Xenopus tropicalis: one gene and its partner. The protein of the gene in region 1 interacts with the protein of each later gene in a pairwise test. Links are inferred from orthologs where the notes say so. Each region holds a gene or a part of one and is shown on either strand. Other genes may lie near its edges. The genes, in order: rxra and nr0b2.

Region 1 (10,309 bases):
ATGGCAGTAGGTGGGGAATGGTTGGAAGGGAGTCAGTGGCAGTGAGATGGGGGGGGGGGAATCCTTAGCCAGGGAGTTGGGGGGTGAGGGTCAGTGCCAGTGGGTTGGGGGGGGGGTAATGCCCGGGGTTGGCCATTGCTGCAGCCTTTTGTGGGGCCCCATTGCATTCAGCCCTTTTTCCCATAGACTGGCAGCTCTGCCTGGGCACCAACTCTACTCGCCCTGTGGCCCTAACGATCCCAGGGTGCAGCTCCTATTGTGTCCAATGACTTTCCTCCTTCTGGAGTCACATGACCCACTTTGGCTAGTAGCCCCCCCCAAAGGTGCCAACCAACTCCTTTCCAGCTGTTATGGACCACGCAGGCCCTGGGGAATGCTGGGAGTTGTAGTTTAGAACAGCTGGAGGGCTGGGCAGAGGGAACTAGGCTGAGCCTGTGCCAGTGTGAGTGCCTGTGCCAGTGTGAGTGCCTGTGCCAGTGTGAGTGCCTGTGCCAGTGTGAGTGGTATGGTGTGCCAGTGTGAGTGCCAGTCTGTGCCAGTGTGAGTGCCAGTCAGTGTGAGTGCCTTGCTGTGCCAGTGTGGGTGCCATGCTGTGCTAGTGTGAGTGGTATGCTGTGCCAGTGTGGGTGCCAGTCAGTGTGAGTGCCATGTTGTACCAGTGTGAGTGCCTTTGCCAGTGTGAGTGCCAGGCTGTGCCAGTGTGAGTGCCAGTCAGTGTGAGTGACATGCTGTGCCAGTGTGAGTGCCAGTCAGTGTGAGTGACATGCTGTGCCAGTGTGAGTGCCAGTCAGTGTGAGTGACATGCTGTACCAGTGTGAGTGCCTGTGCCATGCTGTGCCAGTGTGAGTGCCAGTCAGTGTGAGTGCCATGTTGTACCAGTGTGAGTGCCTTTGCCAGTGTGAGTGCCAGGCTGTGCCAGTGTGGGGGCCATGCTGTGCCAGTGTGAGTGCCAGTCAGTGTGAGTGACATGCTGTACCAGTGTGAGTGCCTGTGCCATGCTGTGCCAGTGTGGGTGCCATGCTGTGCCAGTGTGAGTGGTATGCTGTGCCAGTGTGGATGCCATGATGCTGTGCCAGTGTGAGTGCCATGCTGTACCAGTGTGAGTGCCAGGCTGTGCCAGTGTGAGTGCCATGCTGTGCCAGTGCCAGACTGTGGCAGTGTGAGTGCCATGCTGTGCCAGTGTGAGTGCCATGATGCTGTGCCAGTGTGGGTGCCAGGCTGTGCTAGCGAGTGCCAGTGTGAGTGTCAGACTGTGCCAGTGTGGGTGCCATGATGCTGTGCCAGTGAGTGCCAGTCAGTGTAAGTGCCATGATACTGTGCCAGTGTAAATGCCAGTCAGTGTGAGTGGCTGTGCCAGTGTGAGTGCCAGTCAGTATGAGTGGCTGTGCCAGTGCCATTATGCTGTGCCAGTGTGTGCCAGTCAGTGCCAGTGTGAATGCCAGGCTGTGCCAGTGTGAGTGCCATGATGCTGTTCCAGTGTGAGTGCCAGGCTGTGCCAGTGTGAGTGCCAGGCTGTGCCAGTGTGAGTACCAGTCAGTGTGAGTGCCAGTCTGTGCCAGTGTGAGTGCTGGGCTGTGCCAGTGTGAGTGTCAATCAGTGTGAGTGCCAGTCAGTGTGAGTGCCAGTCAGTGCCAGTGTGAGTGCCAGTCAGTATGAGTGCCAGGCTGTGCCAGTGTGAGTGCCAGTCAGTGCCAGTGTGAGTGCCAGTCAGTATGAGTGCCAGGCTGTGCCAGTGTGAGTGCCAGTCAGTGTGAGTGCCAGGGTAAGTGCCAGTGTGAGTGCCAGTCAGTGTGAGTGCCACGGTAAGTGCCAGTGTGAGTGCCAGTCAGTGTGAGTGCCAGGGTAAGTGCCAGTGTGAGTGCCAGTCAGTGTGAGTGCCAGGGGAAGTGCCAGTCAGTGTGAGTGCCAGTGTAAGTGCCAGTCAGTGTGAGTGCCAGTCAGTGTGAGTGCCAGGGTAAGTGCCAGTCAGTGTGAGTGCCAGTGTAAGTGCCAGTCAGTGTGAGTGCCACGGTAAGTGCCAGTGTGAGTGCCAGTCAGTGTGAGTGCCACGGTAAGTGCCAGTCAGTGTGAGTGCCAGGGTAAGTGCCAATCAGTGTGAGTGCCAGTGTGAGTGCCAGTCAGTGCCAGTGTGAGTGCCAGTCAGTATGAGTGCCAGGCTGTGCCAGGGTAAGTGCCAGTCAGTGTGAGTGCCAGTGTAAGTGCCAGTCAGTATGAGTGCCAGGCTGTGCCAGTGTGAGTGCCAGTCAGTGTGAGTGCCAGGGTAAGTGCCAGTGTGAGTGCCAGTGTAAGTGCCAGTCAGTGTGAGTGCCACGGTAAGTGCCAGTGTGAGTGCCAGTCAGTGTGAGTGCCAGTCAGTGTGAGTGCCAGTCAGTGTGAGTGCCAGGGTAAGTGCCAGTGTGAGTGCCAGTGTAAGTGCCAGTCAGTGTGAGTGCCAGGGTAAGTGCCAGTGTGAGTGCCAGTCAGTGTGAGTGCCAGGGTAAGTGCCAGTCAGTGTGAGTGCCAGTGTAAGTGCCAGTCAGTGTGAGTGCCAGGGTAAGTGCCAGTGTGAGTGCCAGTCAGTGTGAGTGCCAGGGTAAGTGCCAGTCAGTGTGAGTGCCAGTGTGAGTGCCAGTCAGTGTGAGTGCCAGGGTAAGTGCCAGTCAGTGTGAGTGCCAGTCAGTGTGAGTGCCAGGGTAAGTGCCAGTCAGTGTGAGTGCCAGGGTAAGTGCCAGTCAGTGTGAGTGCCAGTCAGTGTGAGTGTCAGTGTGGGTGCCAGTCAGTGTGAGTGTCAGTGTGGGTGCCAGTCAGTGTGAGTGTCAATGTGAGTGCCAGTATGAGTGTCAGTGTGAGTGCCAGGGTAAGTGCCAGTCAGTGTGAGTGCCAGGGTAAGTGCCAGTCAGTGTGAGTGCCAGTCAGTGTGAGTGTCAGTGTGGGTGCCAGTCAGTGTGAGTGTCAATGTGAGTGCCAGTATGAGTGTCAGTGTGAGTGCCAGGGTAAGTGCCAGTCAGTGTGAGTGCCAGGGTAAGTGCCAGGGTAAGTGCCAGTGTGAGTGCCAGTCAGTGTGAGTGCCAGGGTAAGTGCCAGTCAGTGTGAGTGCCAGTGTGGGTGCCAATCAGTGTGAGTGTCAGTGTGGGTGCCAGTCAGTGTGAGTGTCAATGTGAGTGCCAGTATGAGTGTCAGTGTGAGTGCCAGGGTAAGTGCCAGTCAGTGTGAGTGCCAGGGTAAGTGCCAGGGTAAGTGCCAGTGTGAGTGCCAGTCAGTGTGAGTGTCAGTCAGTGCCAGTGTGAGTGTCAGTCAGTGCCAGTGTGAGTGCCAGTCAGTGTGAGTGCCAGGGTAAGTGCCAGTCAGTGTGAGTGCCAGGGTAAGTGCCAGGGTAAGTGCCAGGCTGCTGGGCAATTAGCGAGTGGGAAAGAGTTCGGTGCGATTCTGTGGGTAGAGCCGCATTTCCCCTGAGCGCCCCTAGGGGGCCCCCGCTCCGCCTCTCTCCCCAGTCCCCGTATCCCGGCTCCCCCCTCTGCGCTGTGTCACTGGCGGAGGGCTCGGCCGTCGCTGCTCCCCTCGGCGGGGCCCCGTTGCATTGCAGCCTGAGGAGTTGGAGCGGGGAGGCAGGACAACTACTTTCCTTACATTGTTGGTGAGTTTGCAGCAAACTCCTCCGCCCGGGCCCCCGACCCCGCTGGATCCGACTCTCCCCGGGGCCCCCGGATCCCCTGCTCCCAGCCGGCCCATCGCTCTCCTGCACAGGATATCACTGCGGGGCCCCCCAGCCTCCTCTTCCCATCCCCAGGCGCTTGGCATGAGTTAGCCAGCCATGGACACCAAGCATTTCCTGCCGCTGGGTGAGTACTGGGTGCCAGGGTGCTGGGCTGTGGGTGGGGGGCACCTACTGCCGCATCTGTCTCTCTCCTGCTCATCCCACTGCCTCCCCTTGTGTTGTTGTTCCAGCCATTTAACCCCCACAATGCACTTGTAGAGTTCCATACCCCCCCCTTTGGCTGGTAGCCCCCCCAGCAGTGCCAAGCAGGTAGTGGGCACAAACACATGGGTACAAGTTATTGGGCAGCAATGCCAGGCTCCTTGCTCTTATGACTCCTGGGCTGCTGGGGCATGCTGGGAGTTGTAGTTTATAGCAGGTAGAAAAGTTCAGGGGGGGGGGTCCTGCCCTGTCACTACTACTACATAAAGTAGGAGGGGGCAGAGGGGAAATTGCTGCCCTCGGTGTTTATGATCCCGGGATGTATCGGTGTTATATAAGGGGGGGGTATTATACCGTAACTGTCCCTAAGGGCAACTTCCTATTGTATCAAGTGCCAGCGAATGGCTCTTAACCCCTTATCTGCCAAGGTGGCATCAGAGAGGTTAAACTATTCTTATGCAAATGGTAAAACTACCGTTCCCAGCATCCTCCTGTGGCCGGTTAATCAAAGGCTGTGCCACTCTTACTGCCAGGGGGGGGGGGGGGGGGGGGTAGCTGCACACCTTAGTAGACATGGCCCTCTGCTTTTAGACCCACTTCCCTGCCCCGAGCTGAGACGCACTGATTTATTTGATCGCAAGCATTTGGGACAAGGACCCATAATGCCTTCTGTGCCGTGACCCGTGAGTTCATTGGTGGAAGCTGAACCCTTAACCCTACTGATGCAGCCAAGGGCACGGAGCCATAATCTCCCCCCCCGTCAGTGCCCGTTTAGTGCCAACTCTGGGTCCTTCTGTGTTTCCGAGACATCGATTGAAGTATTTAATTAAATTCATGCCGACTGTACCGATTTCCGTTGCGCCATGCTGAATCTTACAGTCATAACCAAGTAGCCATGCTGATTGGATACTGCATACAGTATATGCTTATGGTTTTAAAGGGGGTCTGGCAGAGAGATTGCCCAAAAGGTGCCACTGGTGGCGGTTTCAATGGTGGTGGCGCTTGCCCGTTGGCAGGAAAATGCCCCTGATTGTGATTGATGGCACAATGTAAATACATACTGTTATTGCCTATGGGATAAGCCACACTGGTGGCACCACAACGCATGGGTATTCACACCGGTACTGTCTGTTTATTTAGTGACGGGCAATGCCAAGGGCACAAGTGACCTAATACCCCAGGACCCCTGCCCAGCGCAGCGGAGAATGAAATAAATAAAAGCTAAATTCCTTTGACGGGAAGGATCCGTGTCTCCCGTAAATAAAGTATTAATGCCCGCCGTTGGCACCAAGTCACTTCAGTTACCCGCAGCAACCAGTGTGCGGTTACCAGGCTGCTATTGGGAATGAACTGGGGGCAAACATTGCCCGACTGACTGTAATACCCCCCCTGTTGGCGCACCTGGTTCCCACGGGGTGCCAGTCGGTGCCCCCTCCTCGCCCTACAGTTTCCCACCAGATTTTCTCTTCTCCTTGAGAAGCTCTTGTCCCTCAAGTGTTTTGCTGGGCACCAGAATGACGTACAATTAATTAGCTTTGGGCCGGGTACCTTTGGGCTATAATTACACTGCCTAATTGGGGTGGGGGGTCACCGGTGCCCCAGCACTGATGGACACAGTAGGTGCCAGGGGTGGAGCCCTCCGTGTCTCCTGTTGGTGCTTTATTGGGACATTGGAGGGTACAGGTACCAGACTGGGCACTGGACTGGTTAAACAGGACCCTGTGCCAACCCAAGGCTCGGCGGGGCACAGGGCAGGAACAGGGGGGCGGGGCTAGTGCAGCTCCAGGGGGCAAGGTTCACGGGCAACTTGTTGTGCAGTAATTCCTACTGATAATGGTGCGGGGGATCCCATACAGAGCTCACCTACAGGTGCCCGGCGGGGTCATGTTTATATTATTACTTGCACCCCCCAGGGGCCCCGATAAAGCAATGGAGGCAGGGGCCACAGGAGCTTCATGTTTGATTGGTTCTGGCTTTGAGAAACAATGTAGCAGAAGTCAGTTCCCCCTCCTGGTCTGTCAGTCAGTTGCTTCTGCTACATTGTTTCAGTAGAAAGTAAACTGACAGTCAATAGCAATGACAGTTACACATAACTATAAACCCAGTGAGAATGAGGAATGAATGGGTATTGGGGAGTTGTATCAGGAGTCAGAACCAGCAGTGCAGGGAAGGGAAAGGGACAGACACAGTGACAGTTACACATAACTATAAACCCAGTGAGAATGAGGAATGAATGGATATTGGGGAGTTGTATCAGGAGTCAGAACCAGCAGTGCAGGGAAGGGAAAGGGACAGACACAGTGACAGTTACACATAACTATAAACCCAGTGAGAATGAGGAATGAATGGATATTGGGGAGTTGTATCAGGAGTCAGAACCAGCAGTGCAGGGAAGGGAAAGGGACAGACACAGTGACAGTTACACATAACTATAAACCCAGTGAGAATGAGGGATGAATGGGTATTGGGGAGTTGTATCAGGAGTCAGAACCAGCAGTGCAGGGAAGGGAAAGGGACAGACACAGTGACAGTTACACATAACTATAAACCCAGTGAGAATGAGGAATGAATGGATATTGGGGAGTTGTATCAGGAGTCAGAACCAGCAGTGCAGGGAAGGGAAAGGGACAGACACAGTGACAGTTACACATAACTATAAACCCAGTGAGAATGAGGGATGAATGGATATTGGGGAGTTGTATCAGGAGTCAGAACCAGCAGTGCAGGGAAGGGAAAGGGACAGACACTGACAGTTACACATAACTATAAACCCAGTGAGAATGAGGGATGAATGGATATTGGGGAGTTGTATCAGGAGTCAGAACCAGCAGTGCAGGGAAGGGAAAGGGACAGACACAGTGACAGTTACACATAACTATAAACCCAGTGAGAATGAGGGATGAATGGATATTGGGGAGTTGTATCAGGAGTCAGAACCAGCAGTGCAGAGAAGGGAAAGGGACAGACACAGTGACAGTTACACATAACTATAAACCCAGTGAGAATGAGGAATGAATGGATATTGGGGAGTTGTATCAGGAGTCAGAACCAGCAGTGCAGGGAAGGGAAAGGGACAGACACAGTGACAGTTACACATAACTATAAACCCAGTGAGAATGAGGAATGAATGGATATTGGGGAGTTGTATCAGGAGTCAGAACCAGCAGTGCAGAGAAGGGAAAGGGACAGACACAGTGACAGTTACACATAACTATAAACCCAGTGAGAATGAGGAATGAATGGGTATTGGGGAGTTGTATCAGGAGTCAGAACCAGCAGTGCAGGGAAGGGAAAGGGACAGACACAGTGACAGTTACACATAACTATAAACCCAGTGAGAATGAGGAATGAATGGATATTGGGGAGTTGTATCAGGAGTCAGAACCAGCAGTGCAGGGAAGGGAAAGGGACAGACACAGTGACAGTTACACATAACTATAAACCCAGTGAGAATGAGGAATGAATGGATATTGGGGAGTTGTATCAGGAGTCAGAACCAGCAGTGCAGGGAAGGGAAAGGGACAGACACAGTGACAGTTACACATAACATAATGGATATTGGGGAGCTGCTTGTCTTTTATTAGGTGATAAAACAGTTTTTGGGCTGAGTTCCCCTTTAACTCGCTGCCATCCAATCAGGGCTCGGCGCAGGCCCCAGGAGCAGGTTTAACAGTTGCAGTAGTCGCGAATGGACGGACACAGCTCTGAGCTTGGCTTAACCCCCTGGGGGGGTCGTGGAAGTGTTTAACCCCCTCATTGCTGATGGTTTATTAGGGCGCCTGTGCAGCTGCTGCAGAACCCCTTGCCCCTGAATGTGTATAGTATAGAACCCTATAGTTGGTTCTGAAAGGCACATTGGGGGCTCGATGTGAAGGCTCCCCCCCCTACAGGAAATGCCAACGCGATTTCAGTCCTCGCCGTCCGCTCGGCTGCGTTAGTGCGTTCATCTGACTGTTGCTATGGTGTGCGAGCGAGTGTGCAAATCCCCTGTGTGCCAGCATGCGTTTGTCTGATAGGGATGGGTAAGAGATCCAATGGTCTGGCTGGGGGGGATTGTAGCCCTTGTGAAACTACATCTCCCATCATCCTTAGCTAACTCAGCTTGGATCCCCCCCCTCCCACTGCAGTTGGTTTATTCCAGCTGTTATTGGACTCCAGAGAATATAGAACTCAGTGACAGCGGGCATGACCCTTGGAATGTATGGGAACTACAAATCCCAGCATTCCCTGGGAACTCAGTGACAGCGGGCATGACCCTTGGCATGCAATGGGAACTACAACTCCCAGCATTCCCTGGGAACTCAGTGACAGCGGGCAGGACCCTTGGAATGTATGGGAACTACAAATCCCAGCATTCCCTGGGAACTCAGTGACAGCGGGCATGACCCTTGGCGTGTATGGGAACTACAAATCCCAGCATTCCCTGGGAACTCAGTGACAGCGGGCAGGACCCTTGGAATGTATGGGAACTACAAATCCCAGCATTCCCTGGGAACTCAGTGACAGCGGGCATGACCCTTGGCGTGTAGTGGGAACTACAAATCCCAGCATTCCCTTGGACCTCAGTGACAGCGGGCATGACCCTTGGCATGTATGGGAACTACAAATCCCAGCATTCCTTGGGAACTCAGTGACAGCAGGCATGGCCCTTGGCGTGTATGGGAACTACAAATCCCAGCATTCCCTGGGAACTCAGTGACAGCAGGCATGACCCTTGGCATGTATGGGAACTACAAATCCCAGCATTCCCTGGGAACTCAGTGACAGCGGGCATGACCCTTGGCGTGTATGGGAACTGCAAATCCCAGCATTCCTTGGGAACTCAGTGACAGCAGGCATGGCCCTTGGCATGTATGGGAACTACAAATCCCAGCATTCCCTGGGAACTCAGTGACAGCGGGCATGGCCCTTGGCATGTATGGGAACTACAAATCCCAGCATTCCCTGGGAACTCAGTGACAGCAGGCATGGCCCTTGGCGTGTATGGGAACTACAAATCCCAGCATTCCCTGGGAACTCAGTGACAGCAGGCATGACCCTTGGCATGTATGGGAACTACAAATCCCAGCATTCCCTGGGAACTCAGTGACAGCGGGCATGACCCTTGGCGTGTATGGGAACTGCAAATCCCAGCATTCCTTGGGAACTCAGTGACAGCAGGCATGGCCCTTGGCATGTAATGGGAACTACAAATCCCAGCATTCCCTGGGAACTCAGTGACAGCGGGCATGGCCCTTGGCATGTATGGGAACTACAAATCCCAGCATTCCCTGGGAACTCAGTGACAGCGGGCATGACCCTTGGCATGTAATGGGAACTACATCTCCCATCATCCTTAGCTAACTCAGCTCAGATTCCCCCCCCCCCTGCAGTTGGTGCATTCCAGCTGTTATTGGACTCCAGAGAATATAGAACTCAGTGACAGCAGGCATGGCCCTTGGCATGTAATGGGAACTACAAATCCCAGCATTCCCTGGGAACTCAGTGACAGCGGGCATGGCCCTTGGCATGTATGGGAACTACAAATCCCAGCATTCCCTGGGAACTCAGTGACAGCGGGCATGACCCTTGGCGTGTATGGGAACTACAACTCCCAGCATTCCATGGGAACAGCTAAAATCATTGCTGTCGGCTAGGGGAACGGGTCGGGCCCAACGGGCCAGTTTCTGGGCAAATGGCACAAAATGCAGAGGCTTCGTGTCACCAGGAAGAGGTGCGGTTTGGTGGTTAAAGCGGAGTCTTGTGACTCCGGAGAACAGAAAAAGGAGAGGTTTTCTCATTTAAAGGGATAGGCTGCATGCTGAGGGGTTACCGGTACTATTGGGCACGAGAGTCAGACCGGGGACGTTGGCCGCCGTGGCCTCTTCTCAGAGCCGTGTCAGTGATTGGCGGCTGCTGCTGCACGGTTCCTTGGCGCTGAGCCTCTGATGGGATCAGAACAGCCCTCGGGGCAGCGGCGCCATGTTCTTGATTCTAATTGGATAAAAGTGTTTTTCTTGCTAACTGAGAAAACATGGGACACAAGCAATGGCTTCTATCTATCTATCTATCTATCTATCTATCTATCTCTCCGTCTATCTATCTCTCCGTCTATCTATCTATCTATCTATCTATCTATCTATCCGTCTATCTATCTGTCTGTCTGTCTGTCTATCTATCTCTCCGTCTATCTATCTATCCGTCTATCTATCTATCTATCTATCCATCTATCTATCTATCCGTCTATCTATCTATCTATCTATCTATCTATCTGTCTGTCTGTCTGTCTGTCTGTCTGTCTGTCTGTCTGTCTGTCTATCTATCTATCTATCTCTCCGTCTATCTATCTATCCGTCTATCTATCTGTCTATCTATCTATCCGTCTATCTATCTATCCGTCTATCTATCTATCCGTCTATCTATCTGTCTATCTGT
Region 2 (10,405 bases), on another chromosome or scaffold:
AAAAGACAATTGCGTGTGAAGTGTATTATTTAACTATTAAAATAAAACATTTTTAAAAAAATGTCACGTGGGTTAAGCAAAGTTTTCATAGTACACAATAACTATTAAATCAAAAGTTAGCACACAAGGATCAAAGAAGTAAGAAATATATAGGGATTAAAGACAATACACCTTTTTTCCTTTTTTGGCATTAGGGGCTCATTTACTAGCCATCTATTTTTAATTTTAAACTCAATTTGATTTTTAAAAAAAAATTGCAGAGAAAAAATGCTTTTTACTATACGTTTAAACAGCTAAAAATATGAATTTGACAATTTGCCAGATTAAACTCACAGAGTTTAAGTAGAAGTCATTGGCAAAGGTCCCTTCCCTTGAAGTTCTTTCTCGAAGATTTTGCTGGGTTTTCTCTGAAATTCACGACTTTTTAGAATTCTCACAGCAACAATTTTCTAAAGTTGGAATTTTCGCGGCAAAAAGTTGAACAAGTCGAGTTTTTTTTTTACAACTTTTCTCTGAGTGACTTTTTTTTAGTAAATATCAGACATTTGGGAAGACTAATTTGGTCAAATTTGAAAATAAAAAAAATGAGAAATTATGGAGTTTTAGTAAATCTGGCCTTAAGTATTGTATATAAATAAAATCCTTCACTAACAATGCTGTTTCTTAGTAGTAAAATGGGAACTAGGACTGTGTTATGACTGAATGCCCATTGGCCTACATTTAAAAGATGTTACAGGTATGGACACTGTTACCCAGAATGCTCAGGACCTGAGGTTTGCAGGCCTTTCTGTATTTTGGATGTCCATATGGTATGTCTACTAAAAAAAATTATTGAATCATTAAATAAACCCAATAGGATTGTTTTGTCTGTAATTATATATAATAATAATATCTTAGTTGGGATCAAGTACAAGGTACTGTTTTATTATTACAGAGAAAAAGGAAATCATTTTTTAAAAAATGAATTATTTGATTAAAATGCAATCTATAGGAGATGGCCTTCCTGTAATTCAGAGCTTTCTGGATAATGGGTAATAGATCCCATACCTGTACGATATTGCTTTTGATTTCTGGTTTTTTTTTTTAAAGTTTGCTATACAATTCATACCTCTGTTTTGGGGATGGAAAAGCATTGGGAAAATGTTCTTTCAACTTTCCAATAACTTTAGCTACAATTAGATTTTAAAATTGTTACTGGATCCTAAATGACATCATGCTTCCTTTACTTTTCACAGAACAGTGGAAAGTTTCCATAACTTATATTAATATATAAAAGTTTTCAGTACTGATAATAAAACCATTTGTAGAGGAAAATAATACAGGCCTTCCTTAATCCTTGGGATTAATATAAAAGGAAGTAGTAATTAATATTAATACTAGTTCCCAGCTGGATGCTTTAAACTGCACGTAGACATGAAAGTAATGTCAAAGAGCTCACTTTCTAAAAGAGGATATATACAAAGAGAAATCAGGCTGCATTATCAGTAAGCATGATAGGAAGTTCCATATAATAAATGAAATTTATTTTATGACTATGCTCCTGCTGAACCCAGATAAAAAAAGAAACTCCTGGCTCTACCAGTCTCCTTCACTTGCAGTTTGTCAAGGTTATAATACAAATAAATGGATTATGCAGTAGTCACACAATGTGACGTAAGCTCATTTTTAAGGGATCTGTTCAAACATTAAGCACTGTACGGCCAGGGCCCCCGGAGAGCTACAGAGTGAGGCAAAGGCTTGAAGATTCTTCCATTAGAGAGTGCACTCTAGAGTGTAGAGCGTTCACAGTCCAGGCAGCAGCTCCAAGCATTTACTTTACAGAACTCTGTGTGAGTAAGCCTATACAGTGGTACTGAAAACACTGGAATAGCCCAAACTATTTAATTCCTATTTAAGTAGCTATTCAGATGATTTCCAAGCTTCATAACACATTCATGCTATATAAATAAAAACTAAAGAAGAGAAGCCTTAAAAAAGGTCAATACAAGCCTAAGAATGATTAGCTCTGAAATGGGAACTATTACAAAAATGAAAATTTAATTTGTGTTTTATGTCATGGAAGTAAGAAACTTTCGAAAGATAATCAATAATGACACCGACTGCTAAGAGGAGGATAATGAAGTGTAATTTGATTATTTCAGAAATAGGTACAGAATTTTAAATTGATTATTCTTAGAATATTTATTATTTCCATGAGATGAAGCTTAACTACATTTTGAGTATGTGAAAGTTCCCCTATTACTAGTTACTTATAGTTATATCCAGTAGCTTGACCGAACCATTGAAAGATTGAACCTAAAGCCAGTTCGACATCCTATTATATATATTCAGTAGAGGCTACTCCTTTAGCTTAGAGCAGCGGTTCTCAACCTGTGGGTCGGGACCCCTTTGGGGGTCGAACGACCTTTTCACAGGGGTCGCCTAAGACATTCGGAAAACACATATTTCCAATGGTCTTAGGAATAATTTTATAGTCACCACAACATGAGGAACTGTATTAAAGGGTTGCGGCATTAGGAAGGTTGAGAACCACTGGTTTAGAGGAATTTTCATTTGAATTTTAAGCAGCGTAGGTTGTTCTTTAAGGTGAGGGCAGTGAGGTTGTGAAATGTCCTGCCAGGTGATGTTGTGATGGCAGATTCTGTTACTGCCTTGGGGCTTGGATGATTTTCCACATTAGCTTAATATCAAAGTTTATTTTGATACTATAAATCTAGAATTAGTATAGATATTGTTATATATTGTTTATATATGTGAGTGTATATATAGGTCTGTATAAGTATGTGTTCACTTAAAACACTTCAAATTTGGTTATAAATCGCAGTATATTTAACCACCAGGCACTGGTGATAGAGGTGAGAATAATGGAGGCCAAAACTAAAAGATAAGTCATTTTTTAAAAATATATATTTCTCACTCTTTAAGCGTTTAAAAGAAAATTTCTGAAGTGAGCAAGGGTTACCATGGACAGGGGCAGAAGTGAGCCCAAAAAAACAGATGCACAAGACATAGACTTTCTGAACATCTCTTTAAAGGGGTGGTTCACCTTTTAGTTAACTTTTAGTATGTTATAGAATGGCCAATTCTAAGCAACTTTTCAATTGCCCTTTATTTTTTCTTTGTTTATCTTATTCTTCTGAATATTTCCAGCTTTCAAATGGGTGTCCCAGACCCCATCTAAAAAACGAATGCTCTTTAAGGCTACAAATTTATTGTTATTGCTACATTTTATCACTAACCTTTCTATTCAGACCCTCACCTACTGTATTTGTATTCCAGTCTTTCATTCAAATAAGTGCAGGGTTGCTAGGGTAATTTGGGCCCTGGCAACCAGACTGCTGAAATGGCAAACTGGAAAGCTGCAAAATAAGAAGCCAAATAACTCCAAAAAACCACAAACAATAAAAAATAAAGACCAATTTCAAATTGTTTTAGAATATCACTCTCTACATCATACTAAAAGTAAATTTAAATGTGAACCATCTTACCTGGGTTGAACAGAAGCATCCCTTTGAGGTAAGCATATTCCTTTGTGCTGATGTCTAAGTTCCAGAGTTTGTATAGAAACCGCTGAATTCTTTGAACTTCTATTGCTGGAACTCCTCTATCAGATCTCAGTGCAATGTCACTGACATTCGCATACTGATTTAGAAGAATTTTCTTTAATAAACTGGGAACAGAATGTTCTTGTAGTTCAAAATTCACCCTTTCCTGGGCAAGACCTAAAACAAAAAGTGGAGCCCAGCAGTTCTGTACAAGAAGAATCTGATCCTCCTGGGGCAGCTGATAGAAGGATGGTACATTTCTAATGAATGCCACAGTTTTTAGTAGTACTTCTGATGCTGTCTTGCAAGTCACCTCAGGGTTCTTCAGAGACACTCTTCTGTTGCCTTCACAAGGGCATTCTCTAGCCAAGGAGCAGATGTGACTGCGGTTGTCATTTGGGCTCTTAGTCTCTGAATGAATCCCTTTGTTAAGCATCTGAAAAAGAATACTGTTAACTGGATCTCTGTTACAGTGACATTTTCCTAACTTTTCAGATATGCAAGCCATTTCCGTGTTGCATACACTGGGGGATAAACACATGAGCCGATATACAGTGCCTCACACATAAAGAAAAGCAGTAGTTCTGCCAAACTAGTAGGTGATTGGATCTTTTATATACTCAGCAAGTTGAACAGTAATGTGACTGCGTGTGCTAAAATTCCCTTGAACTTTATTCCTACTAGACTGTTTTCATTCACAACTGAGCAAGGCGTGGTTTAGCCCACAGTATCTAAAGGAGCTGGAATTATCTGAATGAGGGAGCTGGTTACTGATAGGAACTGAACAATGAGTAAAGTGTTGTTTACCGTTCCCTGTCACTGTGATATGGTGGAAAGCAGTGCCATGATATCAAGGACACTTACCAAGCTGCCAACTGTGATACATTTACAGTGGCAATTCTATGTTTTTAGCTTGTCCTTGAAAAATCACAATATAAAATTTAATTTGACACGATAAAGCCATTTATCAGCTTTTTTTTTAAAACAGCACAGAATGACTTTATTTGAAGGGTGCATTCACTTACCTAGATGCAGTGTGCAAAGTGCACCGCCATATTTGTTTCCCACAGTGCGCAAACAGCGATTCTCTTGATGCAGTTGTGCTGTGCCTATTGGTTCAGAGCACTGAAGAATCCTGAAGCTAATGCCTTGTCAGGAGGTGGCAGTAGCTCCAGGGTTCCCCTGCGTCAATAGGCACAGCAGCGCCTTCTAGGTAGGAATCAGGCGGGGGCAAGAATTGACAGACAAGTGCAGGAGGGGGCAGGGAATGCGTCATAGTGTAGGGATGACGTGTAGGGATGACACGTGGTCGGGAAGGGTACGTTTGCTACTCTGTGCTGTGCCCTTCTAACGATTTTTGTTTTGCAGGGGGCCTAGCACAGAGTACTTACACCACTAGATTTAAAAATGCTTTTCTTCCTGAAGCTTGCAATATCAGCATGATTACACACTCCTACATGCATTGATACTGTAGCCTCAGAAACTAAAAATAACCTCTTCAGTCCATTCTTATCAGGTTGTTTAATACTTGTTAACCCTTTCACTGCCAGCCGTTTTTGACAAAGTGGAACTTCTACTGCCATACAGTTTTTGAACATTTTGCACTGTTTCACTTTAGGGGCCTTTCCTCGGGAAAACAATATATTGTTTTTTTCAGGATGGCTAAAATATGGTAGAATTTTTGTGTAATTCCGATTCTGTAACAAGATATAGGCTTCTAAATGTCTAAAAAATGAAAAAAAAATATTTTCCATAATATAAACACATACACCAGAAACAAAAAGTATTTTATGCATGAAAATACAACTGATTTGGAAAGTCCCATGTCTCCTGAACGTGCCAATACCAAATATATATAGTTTTATGGAGATTTCTCAGTTGTATACTGTAGGTCAAAAACTCCCAGCAGTACACTACCAAATTTCCAAAGCACTGCTCCAGAAAGCTGAATACTTTTTAGTATTTAAGGCCAAAATTCCACTAACAGAAGGTTTATCCCAGAAAACTATACATTTTTAGAAAGAACAGATTCTGGGGAATCCAGAATAGGCACAACTGTCTGTCTACTCCAAACTACCAAGTTGCAATGCTTTCCTAAAGTTATTGTTTTTACAGTTTGATGTCCAATATGTATAGGTTTACCTAAGTATTTGGCATGTAGGGGCCCCAATGGGAACATACCCCCATATGATCAATCATTTGTCATTTCAGCTTCTGCAAAATCAACACTTACATCATTATATGTGGGATAAAGCTAGTAAAAAGTACATTCACCCCAGAAAATCATATATTTTTGGAAAGTACACATTCCCCCGAATCTAAAATGGGTACCCGTGTCTTCTACTCTAAAGTACCAAGCCGCAAAGCTTTCCTAAAGTTGGAAATTTTGAAAAAGCCACTCAAAGCTTCCAGTTTCCAGCATCTTATCTCCCACTTATCATTAGGTACCAAGAGGGGTCCAGGGGTCCACTGAACAGTTTGATGCCCAATATGTATAGGTTTACCTAAGTATGTGGCATATAGGGGCCCCAATGTGAACATACCCCCATATGATCTATCATTTCAGCTTCTGCAAAATCAACACATTTACATCATTATATGTGGGATAACGCTAGTAAAACATATGCTCACCCCAGAAAGTCATATATTTTTGGAAAGTACACTTTCCCCCGAATCTAAAATGGGTACCCATGTCTTTCTACTCCAAAGTACCAAGCCGCGAAGCTTTCCTAAGTTTGACGATTTTTATGGCATTTCCAAAAATCACCTCAAGTGATTTTCCCTCAAATAGGAACACCATAGGTCTACTGAACAGTTTGATGCCCAATATGCATAGATATACCAAAGTCTGTGGTGTGTACTGACCCCAAAAAGAAAATAGTGCATAAGGATTTCTCGCCAACTCAGCTTTTGCACACAGAGCCCCCTGACAGCATATTATGTGCCGTATCACCCCCTAACTATACAGAGACCCCCAGAAAACCTTATATTTTTGGAAAGTACACATTCTGACAAATCTAACATGAGTAAAGAGTCCTTTCTACACCAAAGTACCAATCTGCAAAGCTTTCCTAAAGTTAGTGGTTTTATGACATTTGAGAAAATCGCATAAAAATGTTGCAGTTTGCTGCATTTATCTCACACAATTTCTTGCATACAAAGGCAATTCACCCCAAATAGGAACACCTAAGGTCAACTGAACAGTTTGATGCCCAATATGCATAGATATACCAAAGTCTGTGGTGTGTACTGAACCCAAAATTAAAATAGCGCATATGGATTTCTCGCCTGCCAACTCAGCTTTTGCACACAGAGCCCCCTGACAGCGTATTATGTGCCGTAACCCCCCCTAACTATACAGAGACAAAGTTATTTTTGTACACCAAAGTTACACATGGCAAAGCTATGCTAAAATCAGATCAGGAACACTAATATAGGGATAAAAATGCAATAAAACCACAAAAATTATGCAAATCAATGAAACAACAAAATAAGTCACATGACAGCATAATTAGTGGTCAAAATATCTGATCCAATAGTCACGCTGTAAAAATAAACAGTTTAAAGGGCATTTATCATGTGTATGTGCCTATAAATAGAGGTTGCCATAGGTGGAAGCAGGACATAGCAAGGTTGCAGGCATGGAGGACTGAAGAAAGAGCTCAACCAGAACCTGCCCGGGACCCCAAGTCTTGTGTGGATGTTCACCACACCCGACCCATGGGTTTCAGGCCAACATGTACATCATCACAGCACAGAAATGCATTACTGTTACATTTTGCTTCATTAACTAACATTTCTCAGCAGCATCTGTGAAAAGTAGACAACTGTTGTATCCAGGGCTGCCATTAGAAATCATGGGCCCCTCAGAACAAAATTTTCTTGCCCCCCCTCCCCTTGGTACAAAGCCAGGGCCCCCTATAAGTTATAAATACAAATCATTGGTGGCCAGGGGCCCCTTCAAATTGTAAATAAAAAATCATTGGTGGCCAGAGCCCCCTAAAACAGATGGTGGCCAGGGCCCCCTAAACCAATGGTGCCCAGGGCCCCCTAAACTCATGGTGGCCAGAGCTCCCTAAACTGTTGGTGACCAGGGCTCCCTAAACTGTTGGTGGCCAGGAGGTAGTATTGGTGGCCAGGGGGTAGCATTGGTGGTCAGGGCAGGGCCTAAGAACATTGGTGTTCAGTGTAACGTCTTCCTTCTCTGGCATCCTCTTCCTTCTTTGGCTCTTCCGTCTTCTTCTTCAGCGACTCCTCTGGCGGCATTGGTTTCTCCAGCGAGATGCTCCCCCGAAGACACCTCTTCACTTCTGTCTCCATGCTACAGGAGACAGGCCCTCTTACAAGGTTGTGCCTCGTGCGTACTGACATCACACGTATGCATGGGGCACAACCAACCGGATTAGCTGCTCACCGCCAATAAAATTTAACATGCCCAATGTTAAAGAGGACAGGGCCTGTATTTGATTAAAGGGGGCTCCAGCTAATAAGTGTAGCATGGCTGGGCCCCCTTAAGAGTCAAAATCCTCCTGGACAACTGCCCCCCTGATGGCGGCCCTGATTGTATCAGTTATAACAACTGACTTTAAGGCTTTTGCACACACATCAGGTTCCATTTCACCTGTGTTTGTTTTTTGCCACATTAATTGCAATAGAAACACTAGCAAAAGCTTGTGTATAAGAACCCTTAATGCAACTAAGGGATTATGCTCACATTATACTTACATAAGACTTGTATCAATCAAATTAGAATACTTTACAGAGTTGGTGATCCCCCACCTGGACTACACCAGGGAGACATAAGAAAATGAAAAGCAAAACTTCAATATTAGAAAAATGCTCACAAACATAAAATACAAACCAACTGAAAAAAAAGTTTTTACCCCCGGTGAACTATCTGAAACCAATAAACTGAAAAAAGTGTGTGGAAGTAGTGTGTGGAACAACCCCTTTACATGTGTCATTATATAGATGCCCCCATGACACCTAGGCGTGCCTAGACAGTTCCAAAGCTGACCTGGCTGAATGAATCAGCTCTGACAGATTATAGTGTCTCTTCAGTAGAACAATTCCTTTAACCCTGTAACCATTGTGTGCTGCCAGTAATCTTATGAATTCTCCTTTCGCTCTTACTAATACAGGGCTAATCTATTGCTTCACAGAAACCCTGAGCAGGAAGCTTGAACATAATGTAAATTACCTGTCATGGAGGCCCACACAAAATAATATGGGCCCGATTCACTAAAGTGCGATAAAATTTATCGCACGCTTTTTTGCGTGAAATAAGTGGCGATAATTAGCGCGCAATTCACCATAGTATTATCGCGTGCGATAAGTCGCCATTTTCGCATGCGGTATTTCTCGCGCTAGTTTTAATGCATGCGTTAATTTCCGCGCTGAAAAGAATACGATCGCATGATTCACAACCACTAAACGCGCTAAATATCGCATTAGGCTATGCGAAAATTAACACCTACTTCAGGCAGGCGATAATTATAGAAAAGTACAGTAAATGAGCTTTTGGCAATAAAATATGGACTTTGCAGTGTGATTTATTCAAGTATGTGTTTCCCCTAGAGTGACGCAGCCTCCAGTTTGCAGTGAAATGGTCATTTTTAATACAGTCATTTTCCGCAAGTATTGGCGTGTATGGCTAACATGGCGTGCGTTTATTCGCATGACTATTTATATTCGGCTACAAGTGATGAAATATTTCGCCAGGCATGGATTCGCATCGAATTTTTGGACGTGCGGTGAATTTTTTCATGCGTTTTGTGCAAAACGCATGAAAAAATTTGCCACGCAAAAATTCACTGCACGTACAAAAATTGACACAGGTGTCAAAAAATATTAGTCGCGGGCAACAATTTTTTTGCCCGCACAACATTTTTGCTGTTTCGTGGATCTTTCAAAAGATTTGCTAATTTTTTACCAAAGATAACCAGAACACATTTGCTCATCACTAGTGGCTACTATTTATAAGCATCTACCATTTAAATGTGGCTAATATTTATATACACTATTTATATGCGGCAACAATTTATATACACTATTTAAAGCTACTATTTATATCCGGCGACTAAACGCGACCGTTATTTAGCGCATGTACCGGCAAATACCGCATTGAAATAGTCTTCGCGAGTTAAATAACACATGCGATATCGTGCGTAAAATAGCGCAAGTATGCTTTTAGTGAATCGTGCGAAAAGTCGCAAAAATTAAGACGCGATAAAATTTTTACCGCACACTATAAATAGCGCACGTTATTTCACACTTTAGTGAATCGGGCCCTATGTGTAAATTACAAATGTTAAATGTAAAAATATTTAGTTAAAATAAGCAATGATCCTGATTACCCATTTACCCCATATCTAATAAAAGGCATAAAGTTTGCCCAGATACAGGAACCCATAGCATGTTTGCTATTAAGCATTTACTAATCGTCGATTTTATTTTAAACTTGACTTGGATTTTTTTCAAAAAAGTCATCAAGAAAAAACACTGCAACTTTTCAAAGATTTACTATGCATTCAAACAGCTAAAAATCCGAACTCACCATTTAGCAGATTAAACTTGCCCTGTTCATGTAAATGTAATGTCTTGAAACATTGCTGGGTTTTGTCCAAAAATCACAACTTTTTTGAATTGTCATAGCGAATTTTGCGGTGACAATTCAAAAAAGTCGAGTTTTTTACGACTTTCCTTGGAGCGACTTTTCCTTGGGACTTTTTTAAGTAAATATCAGACATTAGGGAAAACAAATTTAGTCGAAATGAAAAAAAATGAAAATGTGAGAAAATTAAAAATTATGGTTTTATTAAATCTGCCACTATGTGTCATTTTGTACATAAACCCATCAG

The links.
Region 2: the proteins of rxra (region 1) and nr0b2 interact in a two-hybrid assay, tested with the Homo sapiens proteins (2 studies listed by BioGRID and IntAct). The link is inferred for Xenopus tropicalis from reciprocal best matches to the Homo sapiens genes RXRA and NR0B2.

The regions. Positions count from the first base shown.
Region 1 is NC_030684.2:8,059,566-8,069,874, reverse strand, and holds the start of rxra (retinoic acid receptor RXR-alpha), read left to right. Parts: upstream 1-3,477; 5' UTR 3,478-3,790; coding exon 3,791-3,818; intron 3,819-10,309. UniProt on the Homo sapiens protein: Receptor for retinoic acid that acts as a transcription factor.
Region 2 is NC_030681.2:89,462,558-89,472,962, forward strand, and holds the start of nr0b2 (nuclear receptor subfamily 0 group B member 2), read right to left. Parts: upstream 5,112-10,405; 5' UTR 4,087-5,111; coding exon 3,489-4,086; intron 1-3,488. UniProt on the Homo sapiens protein: Transcriptional regulator that acts as a negative regulator of receptor-dependent signaling pathways. Specifically inhibits transactivation of the nuclear receptor with which it interacts.